Linked DNA regions of Macaca fascicularis. The protein of the gene in region 1 purifies or fractionates together with the protein of each later gene. This does not show direct contact. Links are inferred from orthologs where the notes say so. Each region holds a gene or a part of one and is shown on either strand. Other genes may lie near its edges.

Region 1 (6,651 bases):
GCTGGTTCACCCCTCCTTAGACAACCTGGTGCTCCCTTGCTTCCGGGAGGTTATCATGTTGATCCCAAACTTAGTGTGGACACCTGATAGGCATAGTACACTACAGCCCAGAACTCGTAGACTTAGACAATCCTCCTGCCTCAGCCTCCAGAGTAGCTGGGCCTACAGGCACGTACCACTGCACCCATCTAAAATTATGAATAATTTTCATTGCTCTGGTGGTGATCCATTTGGGCTGGGTGCAGTGGTACGTGCATGTAGTCCCAGCTACTTGGCAGGCTGAGGCTGTAGTATGCCATGATTGCACCTGTGAATGGCCAGTTTACTCCCAGCCTGGGCAATATAGTGAGACCCCCCCATCTCTTAAATGTATTTGGATTACCTTTATTACTTTTCCTCCTCAATTCAAAACATGCTGTTAAAAGCCCATTTTTAAGAAGATATGTATTTTAATTGACACATGAAAATTGTGCATACATAAGTGCAAAGAGAACTAAGCCATATTAGTGACAAAAACCTATAATTTTTCAACGACAGGCAAGGATTCACTGACCTTAGTGTTTGTGGAGACCAAAAAGGGTGCAGATTCTCTGGAGGATTTCTTATACCATGAAGGATACGCATGTACCAGTATCCATGGAGACCGTTCTCAGAGGGATAGGGAAGAGGCCCTTCACCAGTTCCGCTCAGGAAAAAGCCCAATTCTAGTGGCTACAGCAGTATGTATAAACATCCTTCTTTGATTCAAGTTGAGCATGTTCAAGTATTTTTCTTTTAAGTGGGCCATATCTCATATAAGTTATTTTTCAGGTAGCAGCAAGAGGACTGGACATTTCAAATGTGAAACATGTTATCAATTTTGACTTGCCAAGTGATATTGAAGAATACGTACATCGCATTGGTCGTACAGGACGTGTAGGAAACCTTGGTAAGTATTTGATTACTTGATGATTTCATGTTTTTAGCTGTGATGCGTGCAGCAAAGAACTTGCTAGGATCTAAAATACATTTTTAACAATGAAAGTGACAAAAGATTTTGCTCAAAGCACTTGTTTAAATAATAGATTGTAATATTTTAAATATTTCTGCATAGGAAAGTAGGGTAGCAAGTTACTTTGTGGAAGACGTTTGTTTATATAGTTTTTTGGGGACTCTTTTAGGCCTGGCAACCTCATTCTTTAACGAGAGGAACATAAATATTACTAAGGATTTGTTGGATCTTCTTGTTGAAGCTAAACAAGAAGTGCCATCTTGGTTAGAAAACATGGCTTATGAACACCACTACAAGGGTAGCAGTCGTGGACGTTCTAAGAGGTGAGGTATATATGGTGTAATAGGTGTTGACTTACAGTTTCTAGTGTTTCCTCTGCATGCATGATGTCCAGCGTTAACTTCACAGTATTTAAAAAGCTGAATCATCTTAGGCTTTCTAGATTCTTTGGTAAGGGGTTGTATTAGAATGGATGACACTCCATTCTAATGTTGGGGAAAATATGGCTGGATGGGGAATTGTTTGAATGGAAAAATAGAAATTGGTCATTGGGAAGTATGTAAGAGTTAGGTTACTTCAGTGGAATTTCATCTTCATGTGAACCAACATAAATTTTTTCTTATAGTAGCAGATTTAGTGGAGGGTTTGGTGCCAGAGACTACCGACAAAGTAGTGGTGCCAGCAGTTCCAGCTTCAGCAGCAGCCGTGCAAGCAGCAGCCGCAGTGGCGGAGGTGGCCACGGTAGCAGCAGAGGATTCGGTGGAGGTAGTGTTAATCTGTAACTTCATAGCTTTGGGAAGGGTTTTTTTCCGTTTAGTCATCTTTTTCAAAGTCTAATTAAACCATTTAAGATCAGCACTATAGAAACTTGATGGCAAAGTACTTAAGGGAAGGATTGTATTTAATGATGGATAACTTCATTAATTTATCTCTCTTTTAAATCTCTCATTAGGTGGCTATGGAGGCTTTTACAACAGTGATGGATATGGAGGAAATTATAACTCCCAGGGGGTTGACTGGTGGGGTAACTGAGCCTGCTTTGCAGTAGGTCACCCTGCCAAACAAGCTAATATGGAAACCACATGTAACTTAGCCAGACTATACCTTGTGTAGCTTCAAGAACTCGCAGTACATTACCAGCTGTGATTCTCCACTGAAATTTTTTTTTTAAGGGAGCTCAAGGTCACAAGAAGAAATGAAAGTAACAATCAGCAGCCCTGTTCAGAAGGTGGTTTGAAGACTTCATTGCTGTAGTTTGGATTAACTCCCCTCCCGCCTATCCCCATCCCAAACTGCATTTATAATTTTGTGACTGAGGATCATTTGTTTGTTAATGTACTGTGCCTTTAACTTTAGACAACTTTTTATTTTGATGTCCTGTTGGCTCAGTAATGCTCAAGATATCAATTGTTTTGACAAAATAAATTTACTGAACTTGGGCTAAAATCAAACCTTGGCACACAGGTGTGATACAACTTAACAGGAATCATCGATTCATCCATAAATAATATAAGGAAAAACTTATGCGGTAGCCTGCATTAGGGCTTTTTGATACTTGCAGATTGGGGGAAAACAAACAACAAATGTCTTGAAGCATATTAATGGAATTAGTTTCTAATGTGGCAAACTGTATTAAGTTAAAGTTCTGATTTGCTCACTCTATCCTGGATAGGTATTTAGAACCTGATAGTCTTTAAGCCATTCCAGTCATGATAAGGTGATGTATGAATACATGCATACATTCAAAGCACTGTTTTCAAAGTTAATGCAAGTAAATACAGCAATTCCTCTTTCAACGTTTAGGCAGATCATTAATTAATGAGCTAGCCAAATGTGGGCATACTATTACAGGGAAAGTTTAAAGGTCTGATAACTTGAAATAGGTTTTTAGGAGAATTCATCTACTTAGACTTTTTAAATGCCTGCCATAAATGAAATTGAAATGGTAGAATGGCTGACCACAGCAATGACCAGCCCTCATTAGGGCCTTGGATGATTTTTGGTCTAATAACGCATGCTAGTGTTGATGTTTTTTGGTCAAGAGGGTATGAACAGGAAGAATTAAATGCAGCAGGCTTTATTTTAAATGCCGATTCACATTACTCTGTTCAAGCTGCGTTGAGATGTTAAACTGGCTTACTATAGACTTTGTAAAATGGCTCCAGAAGAGTAACAAACTGAAATCTTTGAGATCACACAGGTTGGAAATATGTACATAACTGCACAAGGTGTCAATTCTGCTCTACAGTGCAGTTTTAGTCAGTTTTAGTTGCATAGGTTTCCATTGTATTTATAGTCTGTTTATGCTAAATCTGGCCAAAGATGAGCATTGTCCACCACTAAAATGCCTCTGCCACTTTGAATTCTGTGCTAATTTTGTGGCCAGAATGCAGTGATGAAAACGCTCCATCTTTTTACAGTGGCATAGGAAGACGGCAAAAATTTCCTAAAGTGCAATAGATTTTCAAGTGTATTGTGCCTTGTTCTAAAACTTTTATTAAGTAGGTGCACTTGACAGTATTGAGGTCATTTGTTATGGTGCTATTTCAATTAGTCTAGGTTTAGGCCCTTGTACATTTTGCCCATAACTTTTTACAAAGTACTTCTTTTATTGCACATTCAGAGAATTTTATATATATGTCTTGTGTGCGTGTCCTTAAACTTCCAATCTTACTTTGTCTCTTGGAGATTGTTGAACGCAGCTTGTCTAGGAAGGGGATGGGACTAGATTCTAAAATTTATTTGGGACCATGGGAATGATAGTTGAGAAGAAAACTATTTGCACACGACAGATTTCTAGATACTTTTTGCTGCTAGTTTTATGTAATATTTATTGAACATTTTGACAAATATTTATTTTTGTAAGCCTAAAAGTGATTCTTTGAAAGTTTAAAGAAACTTGACCAAAAGACAGTACAAAAACACTGGCACTTGAATGTTGAATGTCACCGTATGCGTGAAATTATATATTTCGGGGTAGTGTGAGCTTTTAATGTTAAGTCATATTAAACTCTTAAGTCAAATTAAGCAGACCCGGCGTTGGCAGTGTAGCCATAACTTTCTGATGTTAGTAAAAACAAAATTGGCGACTTGAAATTAAATCATGCCAAGGTTTTGATACACTTGTCTTAAGATATTAATGAAACACTTCAAAACACTGATGTGAAGTGTCCAGAATCTCAGATGTTTGTTGTGTGAATTTTGTTTAGTTGTGTGTTTTTTTTTGTTTGTTTTTTTTTTCAGTGAATGTCTGGCACATTGCAATCCTCAAACATGTGGTTATCTTTGTTGTATTGGCATAATCAGTGACTTGTACATTCAGCAATAGCATTTGAGCAAGTTTTATCAGCAAGCAATATTTTCAGTTAATAAGGTTTCAAAAATCATGTAAGGATTTAAACTTGCTGAATGTAAAGATTGAACCTCAAGTCACTGTAGCTTTAGTAATTGCTTATTGTATTAGTTTAGATGCTAGCACTGCATGTGCTGTGCATATTCTGATTTTATTAAAATAAAAAGTTGAACTGCACAGTCTCCTTTGTTGTTGTCAATTGTGGTTTATTTTCAGAGGTGAAAATAAAGTGCTCTTGCCTGAAAAATTGTAAAATGTTATTTTTTTGGTTGTCATCCAGTGCTGTTTTTTGAGATGCCTCTTGGATACAGAATGACTCTCATAAGTATTTGCAATGAAAGATGAAGATGTTAGCTTGAAATACAGTGAAACAGAATTTTTGTAATAGATGGAAATCTAAAAGGCCCTTACTGATGTACAGCATGTACTAGAAATTGGCTTATACTTCCCAACAATTTTACATGGGTGAGAGTCTCACCGTTCTTTGAAGTATCCGATATGAAGGATGGTTGAACAGTGGAAGAATGAGCAGGATAAAAGTCAAGTGTGTCAGTAGTCCAAGTAATGGTAAGTATGTACTTAGGGAAGGAATCAAGAATGTATTTGGGCCAGGTGTGATGATTGCATGGTCCTATGGTGAGTGCTAGCTTACTCGGAACCTGAGGGGCAGGAGGATTCCTTGAGCCCAGGAGTTAAAGTCCAGCCTGGGCAACATAGCAAGACCTTACCTCTACAAAGAAAAGAAAAAAAACAGGTAATAGACATCTATGCTTACCATACACACTGCTGCAACAGGCTGCTACCTCAAGTGCATAGGTGTTTGATTAGTTGTCGTACTAGCAGTTTGGTATGTTTCAACCTCTAAGGAATATGTGTATTCAGCTTTTGTTTCACTGTAGTTGAAGGTTTGCAGTATGATTTAAGAATTTTTTGCACTGTAAGGAAGTACAGTTCTGGATAGTTAACCTTTGTCCAGTCATGAACTCAAGCCTAAGTTTTTGGAGCAGAATTTTGAAACATGGCCATGTGTATTTTGAAGATAGAAAAGATGATCATACTTCGGTCTCAATTTAGTCAAACATGGAAAGGTTTAGGATGGCTAGATTGAATAGTCAATGGCTGAAAATGACTCGTGAAGTTGGATGCTAAAGAAGAGTTCAAGTTCCCCTTCATGTGAATGATGAGGAGTGAACATGACAATCAGCTTGGGGGAACTGCCAGAATTTGAGATTATTTCTAGTCTAGCATGGTTAGGATTATGGTGACAAATTCAGTACGTTTATATACTACATTAATCTGGTTTAATTACACTTAAATGCAGTTGTCACTCCTGTGCACTGTTTGTGTTTCCTGGATTCTTGGCTGAATTTCAAGATTTTTAAAATGGCTTTATAGGAGCTATGTCTAACCTTCATGCTTAAAATGTTTCCCTTGCTCCTATGCTCTAAGTGACCTGCTTGAATGGCCACAGGCTTGCTCTTTGGAGTTCAGTGACTTAATACATTGTTGATAGGGCTTCACTACTCCCAGAATACAGAGGTATCTACTTACTGTAGGTACAGGGCATTGAAAGTTATAAGACTATCTTTGGGTTTCGCTTTCTTCTGTTCCATTCTATTTTTAATACAATTATGGGTATATTTAAACCTGCTTTGTTGCTTCGTGTCATTTCAGCTTATGATCTATTTTTCAGCATGTTTAGTGTCATTGTTTCTAATGTGGCTGTCCCTTCTATAATGACTACTCTTTAATTTTTTTTTTTTTTTTGAGATGGAGTCTCGCTCTGTTGCCCAGGCTGGAGTGCAGTGGCATGATCTTGGCTCACTGCAAGCTCCGCCTCCTGGGTTCACGCCATTCTCCTGCCTCAGCCTCCCGAGTAGCTGGGACTACAGGGGCCCGCCACCACACCTGGCTAATTTTTTGTATTTTTAGTAGAGACAGGGTTTCATCGATTTAGCTAGGATGGTCTCGATCTGACCTCGTGATCTGCCCACCTTGGCCTCCCAAAGTGCTGGGATTACAGGCGTGAGCCACCGCGTCCAGCCTAATTTTCTCATTCTTCATTGATTTCTTTTTCCTCTGAGTTTTCTCTGCATACACCTGACTGGGTTTTCTTTAGGATAATTCTGAGACAGGACTTTCTTGACAAAGCACTGTTTAGTTATATTATGAAAGGGTATTTTGTGACTTGGAAAGATGTTTATTATGGGAGAAAAAACGGACCAATACGATTTAAGAGCAGGAAATAGGTGTCTCAAAACGAGATAAAGTCAGCAATTCCACTCGTAGGAGGATTCTACCCAGGAAA
Region 2 (6,651 bases), on another chromosome or scaffold:
TGGTGGCGCGTGCCTGTAATCCCAGCTACTCAGGAGGCTGAGGCAGGAGAATTGCTTGAACCCAGGAGTCAGAGGTTGCAGTGAGCCGAGATCACACCACTGCACTCCAACCTGGGTGACAGAGCAAAACTCCATCTCAAAGAAAAAAAAAAAAAGAGTTTATATTCTGAGCCTGAAGCCTGCGGTCTTAAAAAGCTTACAAAATCATTCTCGTGAGGAATCCAGACGATTGAAAAGGGACAGCTGCCTTCCTGTGTGATTGAACTGAATGTCGGGTACTATCTTGAGTTATCCTGGAGCAGCTGCCCCACTCCCCCGCTTATGTGTTCCACACCAGGGAGACCCACTTTAGGAGAGGGCGGTTCTTTGAAGGAAGGACCTGTGGTGTTTGCCTCTCCACATCTCCCCACAGCGCTGCGCACATTGTCAGTGACTCTTTGTTGCATGGTGAGTGACCATGCCACGCTTTTGCAGACCTCCTGACAGTGAGTGAGACTGCCAATGAGCCCCCTCAAGATGAAGGTAATTCCTTCAATTCACCCCGCAACCTGGCCATGGAGGCAACCTACATCAACCACAATTTCTCCCAGCAGTGCTTGAGAATGGTGAGGAAACAAGTCTCTGGGCGTTGATTCATTCTTATTTAACCAGCTGCTACTTGTGGAGCATCTGCTTTTTGCTAGGCTCTTGGGTTGTGGGACTGAGCAGGACAGACCCAGTCCCCACCTTTAGCAGGGGAGTTACATGCCTGGGCTTGGGGGTCAGGCTGTCTGACTTTGAACAAAGTTCCTGTCCTTACAGAATTTCATGATAGTGGAGGAGAAAACATAGTGAACCATAAATAATAAATTGATTTACATCAAATGGTGATTTGTGCCATGGCAAAAAATGAAGTAGAGATGGGCATGGTTACGAACTCGTTTTCATTCATCAGGTGCTAACAGTTAGGAGGGGTCAAGTAGGCATAAAACAGGCAGCGAGCTCACAGCCCCATCAAGGGCCCCAGGAACCTGGCCAGAGCTGCAACTAAGCAGAGGTGCTGGGTCTGACTGATTGGCCTTGGCCTTGTCAACAAAGTTAGCTCTGTCTTGTGACACCTTTGTTTTTGCAGGGGAAGGAAAGATACAACTTCCCCAACCCAAACCCGTTTGTAGAGGACGACATGGATAAGAATGAAATCGCCTCTGTTGCTTACCGGTAGGTCACTCTCTGGTGGGTATTGTGACCAGATTGGAGCATGGGCCCCACTCTGTCGAATCCCCAGTGACCACGTGAGTTTCTCCTTCGCTGCAGTTACCGCAGGTGGAAGCTTGGAGACGATATTGACCTTATTGTCCGTTGTGAGCACGATGGCGTCATGACTGGAGCCAACGGGGAAGTGTCCTTCATCAACATCAAGACACTGAATGAGTGGGATTCCAGGGTGAGCCGCCATCTCCATCACCCTCCTGGTGACACCATGTCTCTGTTCCCTACAGTGCCTGTTTACGCAGGCTAGGTTGTGTAAACTGTTTCTTATCCCTTTTCATTACTTATAGAGCTACCTGGATTTTTTTTGTCTTGTGAGTTTTTTCCTCTGCTTAGTTCCTTGCCGAGAAAGAGCATGACTGTGTGTGTAGAACTATGTTAAGTGTTAAGGACTTTTCTGCTTATTATTTACACAGGAACCATTTAACTCCCTTCTTCCAGTACTTCATCTCTGTTCCATTGTGGCCTCCTGTTGGCTTCTGCTCTCTGAGCATCTGATTTTTTCCTCTCCTTATTATCTGGGTTGGCAGTTTCCTGTAAGTCTGGCCGCTCTTCTTTTTGACCTCTTCTTTCATTGACTGAGCCACTGCCTTCAGTCTTTTCATACCTTTTTTCCAATTCCTCATTTCCTGAACTCATGGATTCTACGATCTGGCTTGGAATTGATGCTTCAGAGGCACCTTGAAAGAAACATGCTTCCTTCACTTTTCCTCCACTTTCCATTTCCACCCCACCCCCACCCACATCACCTGTTGGAGGAGCACACTGGGAGGCTTGCTGTGACCTCCCTCTGGGGCCAGTGGCCTTTTCTTGGACTTTTCCCGGTGAGCTCCCCAAAGCATTCGGGGTCGTTGCACCTGTGTTGCTTTGCCCTCTGTGTTACCGCGTTACTCTGGTCTCACCCATTTCCCTGTTCCCTTCACATGTTGTCTTTGCTGGCTCCCCTCCTTTTTGACCCATGGAGTCACCTAGACAGCTCTCTTCGCCACACGTACTTCTTTATTATACAACTTTGTGTTAGTTATCTTTTGCTCCATAACAAATTAACAGAAACTTAGTGACTTAACAATACCGATTAATATATTTTATTTTTATTTTTTATTTTTTATTTTTTGAGACAGAGTTTTGCTCTTGTTGTCTAGGCTGGAGTGCAATGGGGCGATCTCGGCTCACCGCAACCTCTGCCTCCAGGGTTCAAACGATTCTCCTGCCTCAGCCTCCCGAGTAGCTGGGATTACAGGCATGCGCCACCACGCCCAGCTAATTTTGTATTTTTAGTAGAGACGGGGTTTCTCCATGTTGGTTAGACTGGTCTCGAACTCCTGGCCTCAGGCGATCCGCCTGCCTCGGCCTCCCAAAGTGCTGGGATTACAGGCATGAGCCATGGCACCCAGCCTAACAATATTGATTTATTAGCTCACATTTTTGTAGGTTAGAAGTCCAGTGCTGTGTGCTTGGTCTTTGTATTGGTCCATTCTCGCACTGCTGCAAAGAAATGCCTGAGAGTGGGTAATTTCTAAAGAAGGGAGATATAATTGGCTCACAGTTCTGCAGGCTCTACAGGAAGCGTGACTGAGGAGGCCTCAGGAAACTTGCAATGGTGGCAGAAAGCAAAGGAGAAGCAGGCACATCTGACATGGCCAGAGTAGGAGAAAGAGAGGGGGAAGTTGCTATACACTTTTAAACAACCAGATCTCTTGAGAACTCTGTATCACAAGAATAGCGCCAAAGGGGAAAATCCACCCCCATGATCCAGTCACCTCCCACCATGCTCCTCCTCCAACATTGGGGTTTACCACTTGACATGTGATTTGGGTGGGACACAAATCCAAACAAGGCAGAAATCACAGTGTCAATAGAAACAGGACTGAGTTCTCATCTGGAGGTTCTGAAAGCCATTTCCAAGCCCATTTTCATTGTGGGTAGAGTTCATTTCCCTGCAGTTAGATGACAGAGGCCCCCATCCCCCTGCCAGCTGTCAGCTGGGAGCCTCTCTCAGCTCCTAGAGGCCACCTGCATTCCTTGTCACATGGCCCCCTCCATCTCCAAGCTAGCAACAGCACAGCAGATCCTTCTCGTGCTTCAAATTTCTGACTTCCTCTGTCTCTGATCTCTACACCTAGATTTGAGAGACTCATATGGTTGGGTGAGGCCCAGCCCCAGGTAGTGTATATTAAGGTTAACTGATTGGGGGCCTTACATCTGCAAAATCCCTTTTGACATACAAGGTAGCATAATCATGGGGGTGATATTTGATCCTAGCCATAGGTTCTGCCTGCAGTCAAGGGGAGGAGACTCTGCAAGGGCAAGGGTCACTGGGGATCATCTTAGAATTCTGCCCACCCCAGGCCTCAACCATGAACTCTTTGAAAATGATTTCTCAAATCTACTCTGATTTATTACACTTCCCATTGTTTTTCTGCTAAAACACCTTCCCCTTCCGTGTGCCCCCCGTCCTGTCATTGCCTCTGGGCCAGCTGTCCCTCAGCATTGTCTTTCTCCCACCTAAGCTCTGAGCCTCTAATATCTCCAACTCCTTTTTTACATTTGCTATTAGCAAAATAGAAGGCTTTGCTGTCTTCTGACTCAGTCCTGGATTTCGCTGATACCAAGCCAATACACAGCTTCATCAGCAGTGCAGACTGGGAGAAGGACTCTAACGTGCCCCAGCAAGCTGCACACAGTAGTGCGCACCTGTAATCCCAGCTGCTCAGGAGGCTGAGATGGGAGGATCGCTTGGGTTCAGGAGTTCAAATCCTGAACTCACCAGCTTGGGCAACATAGTGAGACCCCCCATCTCAAAAAAAGCAAACGCACAGCGGTGCTGCAGGATAGCTTAAATTTTTTAGGGAAACACCAGAGACGTCTTGTCGGAATACTACTACATGGTTTGAACCTAACTAAATAAAAGGAATTACTGGCCAGCCACTGTGGCTCACGCCTGTAATCCTAGCACTCTGGGAGGCCGAAGCGGGCGGATCACCTGAGGTCAGGAGTTCGAGAGCAGCCTGGCCAACGTGGCGAAACCCCCCCTCTACCAAAAATATAAAAATTAGCTGGACGTGGTGGCGGGCACCTGTAATCCCAGCTACTAGGGAGGCTGAGGTAGGAGAATCGCTTGAACCTGGGAGGTGGAGGTTGTGGTGAGCTGAGATCACGCCACTGCACTCCAGCCTGGGCGACAAGAGCAAAACTCCTTCTCAAAAAAAAAAAAAAAAAAAAAAAAAGGAATTCCTGAGTATTTCTTTTGCCCTGTGGTTGCCATGAACCAAGAAAGTTTGGGAACCTCTGTCATGTGACCTTTGACCAGTCATTTCACTCTGGGTCCATCTTCCCACGTCTGTAAATGATATGGGTAGAAAAGAGGATCTCTTTGGGGTCCTTTTCTGCTGTGTGCATTTATGTAAAATGTCAGACTCAGCTTTGCCCCCACTGCAGGCTTCCACCCCCATCTAAGGCCAACTCCGCCTGTCTTTCCTATCCCACCATGCCTCTCAGATCAGGAGCTCCTGTCTGTACCTGCACTTGTGCCAATATTCTCCACTTGGCTCACTGTTACACATCCTCTGTGAAGCCCTTCCTTACCATGCAACACACAGTAGACACTTGCCTCTGCTGTTTAAAGTGTGTGTGTGTGTGTGTCCATGTCCATCATTCCCTGGCTAGGTGAGCTTTTAGAAGAGAAGAGCTGTAAGTCATTGAGTGCCAGCTTGCGGCAGGCTGTGCAAGGGAAGGGAGCGTGTCTTTGTCTCTTAAATGGTAAGATTTAGTGCATACCTACCCACTTTCTAAGCAGGCAGACTGGGGAGTTCCTTCTCTGCCAGAGGAGGTCCCAGCACCTTGGGCATTTAGAGCTTGCTTCTGCTTCTCTAACGGGGCTCTCCTGCAGCACTGTAACGGCGTTGACTGGCGTCAGAAGCTGGACTCTCAGCGAGGGGCCGTCATTGCCACGGAGCTGAAGAACAACAGCTACAAGTTGGCCCGGTGGACCTGCTGTGCTTTGCTGGCTGGATCTGAATACCTCAAGCTTGGGTGAGAGGCCTGTGCGGGAACTGGCAGCTGATCTTGTGAAAGGAAGGGTCTGGGTAGGGAGGTTGGCCCTCCCCTCCCCGTGTACTGGACTGGCAGAGATAAATCCAGGGATGGGGTAGAGATGGAGGGATCAGTTAGGAGACAGATGCCAAACAGCAGGCATGCTGAATGGAGTCCTGAACTAGGGCAATGATGTCAGTGAAATCCAGAACTGAACACTCAGAAGACGGAGTTTTCCCTTTCCCTTGAAAATAGCAGTGGACCAGGTATCACCATTTAATGGACATTTGATGCCAAGTGTTGCTGTCTCTGTGCCACCTGCTCTGACCACTGATATCCCTTCCTCTGTTAGTTATGTGTCTCGGTACCACGTGAAAGACTCCTCACGCCACGTCATCCTGGGCACCCAGCAGTTCAAGCCTAATGAATTTGCCAGCCAGATCAACCTGAGCGTGGAGAATGCCTGGGGCATTCTACGCTGCGTCATCGACATCTGCATGAAGCTGGAGGAGGGCAAATACCTCATCCTCAAGGACCCCAACAAGCAGGTCATCCGTGTCTACAGCCTCCCTGATGGCACCTTCAGCTCTGATGAAGACGAGGAGGAAGAGGAGGAGGAAGAAGAGGAAGAAGAAGGTGTGTAGCAACCCACTTTCTGAGGTCTAGAGTGATCTGTGGGCTAGCACGGGAGCAAGTTCTATAGCCATTGTGATCTTTAACCTTGATAAAACTTTGAGAATTCCGAGACTTAAGTATGAAGCAGCATTCACTTTGCCTCCAAGAGCTTCTTCCAGAGCCTTTAGATCACATCAAGTGGTTGGGGAGGATAGCGGTGTTTTAGAGAAGTGGCTGGACTGTGGCAGAGGTAGAGAAAGATGAGGGAAGTCCTGGATGGAAGCCCATGGTCTAGAGGGAAAAGCTGCGCTCTGGGTTAAATAGCTTGAAAGTTGTCTCTCCAGCTCCACCAGCTGGTGACTGAAGGAAGTACCTGCCCGGCCCTGTGAGGATCTAAAAGGCTTCACTTCTGAATGGAAGTGTTGAAAACTCACACGCAGTCCAGCAGAGGTTCAGAAAGGAAAGTGAACGCCATATCACACAACCTGGCTTATTTCTCTTACATTTTTTGTGTCTTTCAGAGGAAGAAACTTAAACCAGTGATGTGGAGCTGGAGTTTATCCTTCCACCGAGACTATGAGGGCCTTTGACGCTTAGTGGAATGTGTATCTAACTTGCTCTCTGACGTTTAGCAGATGAAATAAAATATACGTCTGTTTAGTCTCTCCTTCATCGTCTATCTGCATTAACGATTTACAGCCCTTTTTTCAAAGATTCCTGGCAGAGTGGGGATGAGATTCAGCAATTTCTATGTGG
Region 3 (6,751 bases), on another chromosome or scaffold:
CAGACAAAGCTGAGGACATCTCACCTCCACCTCCACTACCACTGCTGCTGCTGTTGTACTGGTTCTGCTGTCCATAGCCCTGAGGGGGATTATAGCTTTGCTGCTGTCCATAGCTTTGCTGCTGTCCACCATAGCTAGGCTGCTGGCCGTAGCCCCCACTCGGGGGCTGCCCATAGCTGCTGGTCTGAGAACTGCTACCGTAACTAAGGAAAACAAACAAAAAACACAATCACAATCCCAGCATAGCCCCCCAATTTCCTTTTAGTGGATTCCATTCTCTGTACTCAACACAGGCTCCCCTACCCCAATTATACCTCTAAACTGCTCCTACTGCTGCTGGTCCCTTTATCATTCCTCATCAATTCACCCCTCTTTTCAAGCCTTCCCCGACATCGACACCACCGTACCTTCCCGAGGTGCTGCTGGGAGTTGGCTGCTGGCCATAGCCAGGGTAGGAGGACTGCTGCCCATAAGAAGATTGGGAGCTCTGGCTACTGCCATAGCCGCCAGTCGAGCCATATCCCTGGGGAGCTGACTGAGTTCCATAGCCTGCTACAAGAAAAAAGAAGTCACAAAAGCCACCAGGAAAAAGAAAATGTAAGAAATGTGTTAAAACATATACAACCTAATACCTATACTCAAAAAGTCAGCCTTTCAGAAGCTGTTCATAATCTTGCAACTCATAGTTACCCTCCTTTCAAAGCCCAAAGTTAATGCTCCAACTTCTATCCTCTCTAAGACAGTTCCAATTTAACCCCGCCAACCCCAACACCCTCTAATCCCAAGCCCAAGGATTCCTGTTAACAGCACTGTGATATGCAGCTGTGCATGCAGTTACGTACAGGACAACCACCTTTCTTAGTTACACTTCAGGACCTTGGGGCAATCCCACCTCCTTATGTATCACATGATTTCATACATTTGTTTCAAGCATAACCATTTTCTCCATTTAAGAATTGGCCTAAAACTGGTTCTCCCGTTAGAAAATATGCTCTTTCATGCTGAGATGGGAAATGAGAGTCATAAAAATTAAAAGCCAAAGAAAACAAATGTAAACAGAATCACAAACCAAAAAACATTTTTGTTTTTTGAGATGGGGCCGCAATACACTGCCCAGGCTGGAATGCAGTCGCTGTTCAGTCACTATCATAGCTCACTGCAGCCCCAAACTCCTGAACTCAAGGAATCCTCCTGCCTCAGACTCCTCAGTAGCTGGGACTACAGGTGTGCCACAATGCCCTGTAAAGGACTCAGATCCCAAAGAGTTTTAAGAATTATACACTCATTTAGGGAAAAGAAATATGGAAGAGTTTCAACACTTCAGTCCTGCTCAGGTTTAAGAAAAGGGACATTCAGGGCGTGATGGCTCACAACTGTAATCCCAGCACTTTGGGAGACTGACGCAGGTGGATCACAAGGTCAGGAGTTCTAGACCAGCCTATCGAACATGGTGAAACCCCATCTCTACTAAAAATACAAAAATCAGTAGGGCGTGGTAGCAGGTGCCTGTAATCGCAGCTACTCAGGAGGCTGAGGCAGGGGAATTGTTTGAACCCGGGAGGCGGATGTTGCAGTGAGCTGAGATAGCACCATTGCACTCCAGCCTGGGCAACAGGATGAGACTCCGTCTCCCAAAGAAAAAGAAAAAAAAGAAAAGCAATATTCAGAAAGAGCAGGAAGAGGTGACCTGCTGAGAAAGACTCACTGCTCTGGCTCTGGCCGTAAGAAGAATAGCTGCTCTGGCCATAGCCTGAAGTGTCCGTGGACTGGCTGTAACCGCTGTAACTCTGCTGTCCGTAGGGCTGACTGCTCTGCTGGGAATAGCCCTGCCCAGGCTGGGTGGGGTAGGCCCCATAGCTAGATGAAAGGAAAACCAGCGTGATCAGAAAACACAGCTTGACCACCCTTCCCCTCTACAAACTCTGGAAGCCCAAAAACAGCACTCACCTTTGGGTTGCTTGTTGGGTATAATCTGCAAAAAAAAAAAAATACAATCACATTATCTTCAGCCGCCACTCTGAAACAGTTGAATTAAAGCTAAATTCCTTAACTCAAGCACTGATGAATAAATAGGACCACACAGGCCAGGTGCGGTGGCCCACGCCTATAATCCCAGCACTTTGGGAGGCCGAGGTGGATGGATCACTTGGGGTCAGGAATTCCAACCAACATGAAGCCCCATCGCTAATAAAAATACAAAAAATTAGCCGGGTATGGTGGCGCACGCCTGTAATCCCAGCTATTTGGGAGGCTGAAGCAGAAGAATCGCTTGAACCCGTGAGACAGAGGTTGCAGATCGCGCCACTGCACTCCAGCGTGGGCGACAGAGCGAGACTCCGTCTCAAAAAAAAAAAAAAAAAAAAAAGCATCACGTTTCAATAAAGGGCATAAAATTCCCCCATTGAGACACTGGTTGAGAAGAGTAGCAAACTGGCCTATCAGCCAAGTGTTCTTACAAAAAAGAAAAAGTGAAGAAAATGCAAGTTTCTACAGAGTCCCAGAAGCCTTAACCGTTGGAAAAACCAAGGTCTTGGTGGACAGCCACAACTTTCTGCAAGACCAATTCATGTCAGTGATTGCTCTAAAACATCGCGCATTCGCTTCTTCCACTCTATAACAAAGCCATTATTGCCAGGAGTCAAAACAGACTAACTCGCCCAAAGTCGTAGAGCTACCAAGTAGCACAGGTCTGAATTCGAGCAGTGTTCAGATTGTGGCCTCTACTCTCTCAGCCCAGACCCACAGAAGAATGTCTCAAAAAAGGCCATTCTGCACTCTTTGACCAATTCCGGAGAAGAAGTGGCCTTTTTAGTGCAAAGCCAGAGAATCAAGAGCCCTTGGACCCCAAATGACAGAGATCATCCAAGTGCTCGCCTTAAGAGGCCAAAGTCAACAGGTACTCGAGTCCCCAGCCGTGGGGCTCCAGATGGTTCTGTTTTCTCATCTACCCTGCCTTCCCCTGGGCGAACCAAAAGCAACGAAAGCCCTTTTGAAACGCCCCACTTTAAATACACGAACAAGATCAACTCATCCTCCCAGCGCAGGAAACGCGGCGCTTCCCCCGCAGGAAAAGGGAAAGGACCAGGAGAGGGTGTGGCCTCGACGGCTGTTATTCTCCGTCCCAATCTCAGAAAAAAGAAATTTAGACCAGGCGTGGAAGCTCACGCCTGTAATCCCGACACTTTGGGAGGCCGAGGAGGGCGGATCACCTGAGGCCAGCAATTCGAGACGGGCCTGACCAACATGGTGAAACCCCGTCTCTACTAAAAAACACAAAGATTAGCCGGGCTGTGGTGGCAGGCGCCTGTAATCCCAACTACTAAGGAGGCTGAGGCAGGAGAATCACTTGAACCCAGGAGGCGGACATTGCAGCAAGCTGAGATCGCACCACTGCACTCCAGCCTGGGCGACAGAGGGAGATCTTGACTCAAAAAAAAAAAAAAATTGGGGCGGGAAAAACTCTCGGGCCAGGTCCCCGAGTCCGTTGGTGGAACCACGACCACCTCCTCCAAACCGTTAAGCCGGAGCGCGGCCCAGATACCGAGCCTCCGCCCCCAGCCGCGTGGCAACCGAGGCGGGAATGGAGCGGTCCCGCCCCTTCGCGAAAGACCACAGAGGAACAAGGCTCACACCGGACGCGCGCCGCCAAGTCTTCCGCGAAGGGTCTCGCGACAAAAAGCTGAACCGACACGAGGCGGGGAAGGGGTACCCGCGCCGCGAAGGGGGAGGGGCCCGCAGAGCGCGTGCGCGCCGCGAGTGCCCGGATGCAGCACTGCGACAAAGCGGGCCTGAGCGCGGGGCCGGGAGTTGGGGGAGGCGAGGCCACGGAAACCGGGCATTTTCCACCCTCACCTGATGCTTCAAACCCCTAAGAAGCGTCCCTCCCAACGACCACCCCAAGCAAACGGACTGCGAAGAGAAGACTTGCCGCCCCGCGCGCGAGGGCCAGAGGAGCGAAACAAAATGGCGACACCAGCCTCCTCCAGTTACCCCTCTCCGCGGTTTCCCGCCACAGGGGCACGAAAGAATCCCACACAGGATCGCCACCCCGGTCCCACCTAAAATGAAAAGCCTAGGTGGGAGGCCTCGGCCCGGTGCGCCGCCGCCGCCGCCGCCGCCTCGCGCCCTTACCTACCGTTTGAGGCCATGTCGGCGCACGCGCGCACAGCCAAGCAAGCAACAAGATTCCAACAACGCAGAGCACCGACGCCTGGAGGACTGAGCAGCCCCGCCTCCTGCGTCGAAGCTTAAGTACGTCCCGCCGCCTACGCACCGCGCAGGCGCGCACCAAACGCGGAAGAGCAGGGGGAGGAAGGAAAGCGCTCCGCCCCCTTCCTAGCGCAGGTAGAGGTTCCGAGCATGCAGATGGGAAACGAGCTAACTAGAATCATGCAAATACTATACATAATGATATTTTTTGGGGAAGAACCCCTCTCTCCTCGGCAGGACTAGCCCACGATCTAACTCCACCCCCATGAAGGCACAGTGGTACGGCCTGAGTGCCCGCTGGGGGCGGGGCGGGGCGGGGCCGGGCGGCTGGGGACAAAACTGGAGTCACCGCCGGGAGTCGCGGGGTGGAACCGACATTCCTGTGGCCGGGCCTCTTCGCTGGGCCCCGCTTTCACCCAGGACGGCGAGCTCCTGCCCTCCGCCCTCTTGCCGCTGTATGGGGCGCCTTGTCCCCGCGGCTCCAGCCTCCCTCGTCGTCAGCACACTGGCCCTGCGCCCTGGTGTTGACTTCGTCGTCTTTCGGGGTTGCCTTGCTTTTCGGCCTTTCTGAGGTTCGGGAATTATGACGTTTGACCTGAAAGACAGCAGGGATTTCGGCCGGAACCCCTGAGCGCCGAGCTGGTCCAGCACTGGGCTCTCACCCGGACCCTCGCGGCTTTGCCCCTGGGGAGCCGCGGGGCGGAGCAGTCCAGGCCATCCTTGGGACAAGAGAGGGTTGGCCTCAGATGAAGGGCCCCCCAGCCTTTGCTCAGGGACCTCCTTTTTATTTTTCTGAAGCCCTACCAGGGAACCAGTGGCGATCCCAGAAATAAAACGTGTACAAGGCTTAAGTGGTTTCAAAATGCACAGATAATTTCCTTCTCATCAGTCTTACGAAGGAGGTAAACATATCTCCGTTCTGTACATAAGAAAAGTGAGACTCAGAGACCCAAGTAATTGTGCCTGATTACAGGGCAGCTAGGAGGAGTCGTGATTCGAATCCAGGTCTTGTAACTGCAAAACCTCTTTTTGGTGGCATGAATGCTAGAGTGTTTGGTTGCCTTTCCACTTCCTGTGAGAGCAAAAGCAGAAAGAAAAATTCAAATTAACTTGCAACTTGCACTTTCATCAGCCTTGCCTGGAGAAGGCAATTTGAAACTACTGAACAAAGCAAGACAAAAGACGTTAATTCCTGATACATACGCATGCAGGTTTTCCTTCCCAACTTAACTTTCAGCGGGATTCCGGAAGGTCTTTTGAGGGTTGGACCTTTCCTTCTAGAGAAACAATGAGGGCCATGTCCTGGGCCCCCCCCCCCCAGCAAATTAAGCCCCACTAAGCCCTTGACTTCAGCCCTGATGGCCCTGAATACGCCAATATCCACCCCACCCGCGTTGGAAGGAGAGTTCAACTCTCCAGTGAGAGCAAAAGAAAGGAAGTCCACCCTCATTCATGCATTAAGTCACAAATATTTATTTAGCACCTAGTATGTTCCAGGCACTGTTCTGGGCACTGGGTATGCATTAGTGTACAAAGCAGATGAAGCTAACATTTAATAATAAAGCTGACCGGGCGCGGTGGCTCACACCTGTAATCCCAGCACTTTGGGAGGCCGAGGCGGGCAGATCATGAGGTCAGGAGTTTGAGACCAACCTGGCCAATGTGGTGAAACTCCGTCTCTACTAAAAACACAAAAATTAGCCGGGCATGGTGGCACGCACCTGTAATCGCAACTACTCATGAGGATGAGATGGGAGAATCGCTTTGAGACGGGAGAATCGCTTAAACCCAGTAGGCGGAGGTTGCAGTGAGCCAAGACGTGCCATTGCACTCCAGCCTGGGCGACAGAGGAAGACTCTGTCTCAAAACAAATAATAATAATAAAGCTGACATTTAATAATGATATACATTGTGCTCATCTATAATATATGATAGCTAACACTTTAACAAGACTTACTGTCAGGCACTGTTCTGACTGCTTTGAGTAAATTCTTGATTTTATTTTTCACAACAAAAGGCTGATGTGAGGATGACATTTTATCTTTTTTTTTTTTTTTTGAGCTATGGTCTCTCTCTGTCACCCAGGCTGAAGTGCAGTGGCACCATCTCAGCTCACTGCAACCTCCACCTCCCGTGTTCAAGCGATTCTACCACCTCAATCTCCTGAGTAGCTGGGAGTACAGGTGTGCGCCACCACACCCGGCTAATGTTTGTATTTTTAGTAGAGACGGGGTTTCACCATGTTGGCCAGGCTGGTCTCGAACTCCTGGCATCAGAGGATCCACCCGCTTCGACCTCCCAAATTGCTGGAATTACAGGTGTGAGCCACCTCGCCCTGCTAAGGATGACATTTTACAGATGAGGAAATAAGCATAGAAAGATAGAAAGCTGACTGGGCACAGTGGCTCACCCCTGTAATCCCAGCACTTTGGGAGGCCAAGGAGGGCAGATCACAAGGTCAGGAATTTGAGACCAGCCTGACCAACATGGTGAAACCCTGTCTCTACTAAAAATACAAACATTACCCGGGCGTGGTGGCAGG

What was found.
Region 2: the proteins of DDX3X (region 1) and EIF3D fractionate together in Homo sapiens (co-fractionation; 3 studies listed by BioGRID and IntAct, with this or other methods). This does not show direct contact. The link is inferred for Macaca fascicularis from reciprocal best matches to the Homo sapiens genes DDX3X and EIF3D.
Region 3: the proteins of DDX3X (region 1) and FUS purify together in Homo sapiens (affinity purification with mass spectrometry; 3 studies listed by BioGRID and IntAct, with this or other methods). This does not show direct contact. The link is inferred for Macaca fascicularis from reciprocal best matches to the Homo sapiens genes DDX3X and FUS.

What each region holds. Positions count from the first base shown.
Region 1 is NC_088395.1:41,347,432-41,354,082, forward strand, and holds the end of DDX3X (ATP-dependent RNA helicase DDX3X), read left to right. Parts: intron 1-537; coding exon 538-719; intron 720-810; coding exon 811-928; intron 929-1,160; coding exon 1,161-1,314; intron 1,315-1,616; coding exon 1,617-1,756; intron 1,757-1,943; coding exon 1,944-2,023; 3' UTR 2,024-4,525; downstream 4,526-6,651. UniProt on the Homo sapiens protein: Multifunctional ATP-dependent RNA helicase. The ATPase activity can be stimulated by various ribo-and deoxynucleic acids indicative for a relaxed substrate specificity.
Region 2 is NC_088384.1:15,145,361-15,152,011, forward strand, and holds the end of EIF3D (eukaryotic translation initiation factor 3 subunit D), read left to right. Parts: intron 1-474; coding exon 475-605; intron 606-1,111; coding exon 1,112-1,197; intron 1,198-1,293; coding exon 1,294-1,423; intron 1,424-5,137; coding exon 5,138-5,280; intron 5,281-5,632; coding exon 5,633-5,916; intron 5,917-6,416; coding exon 6,417-6,430; 3' UTR 6,431-6,562; downstream 6,563-6,651. UniProt on the Homo sapiens protein: mRNA cap-binding component of the eukaryotic translation initiation factor 3 (eIF-3) complex, a complex required for several steps in the initiation of protein synthesis of a specialized repertoire of mRNAs.
Region 3 is NC_088394.1:29,365,976-29,372,726, reverse strand, and holds the start of FUS (RNA-binding protein FUS), read right to left. Parts: upstream 4,225-6,751; 5' UTR 4,149-4,224; coding exon 4,136-4,148; intron 1,973-4,135; coding exon 1,948-1,972; intron 1,858-1,947; coding exon 1,688-1,857; intron 553-1,687; coding exon of another isoform or gene 550-552; coding exon 408-549; intron 204-407; coding exon 25-203; intron 1-24. UniProt on the Homo sapiens protein: DNA/RNA-binding protein that plays a role in various cellular processes such as transcription regulation, RNA splicing, RNA transport, DNA repair and damage response. Binds to ssRNA containing the consensus sequence 5'-AGGUAA-3'.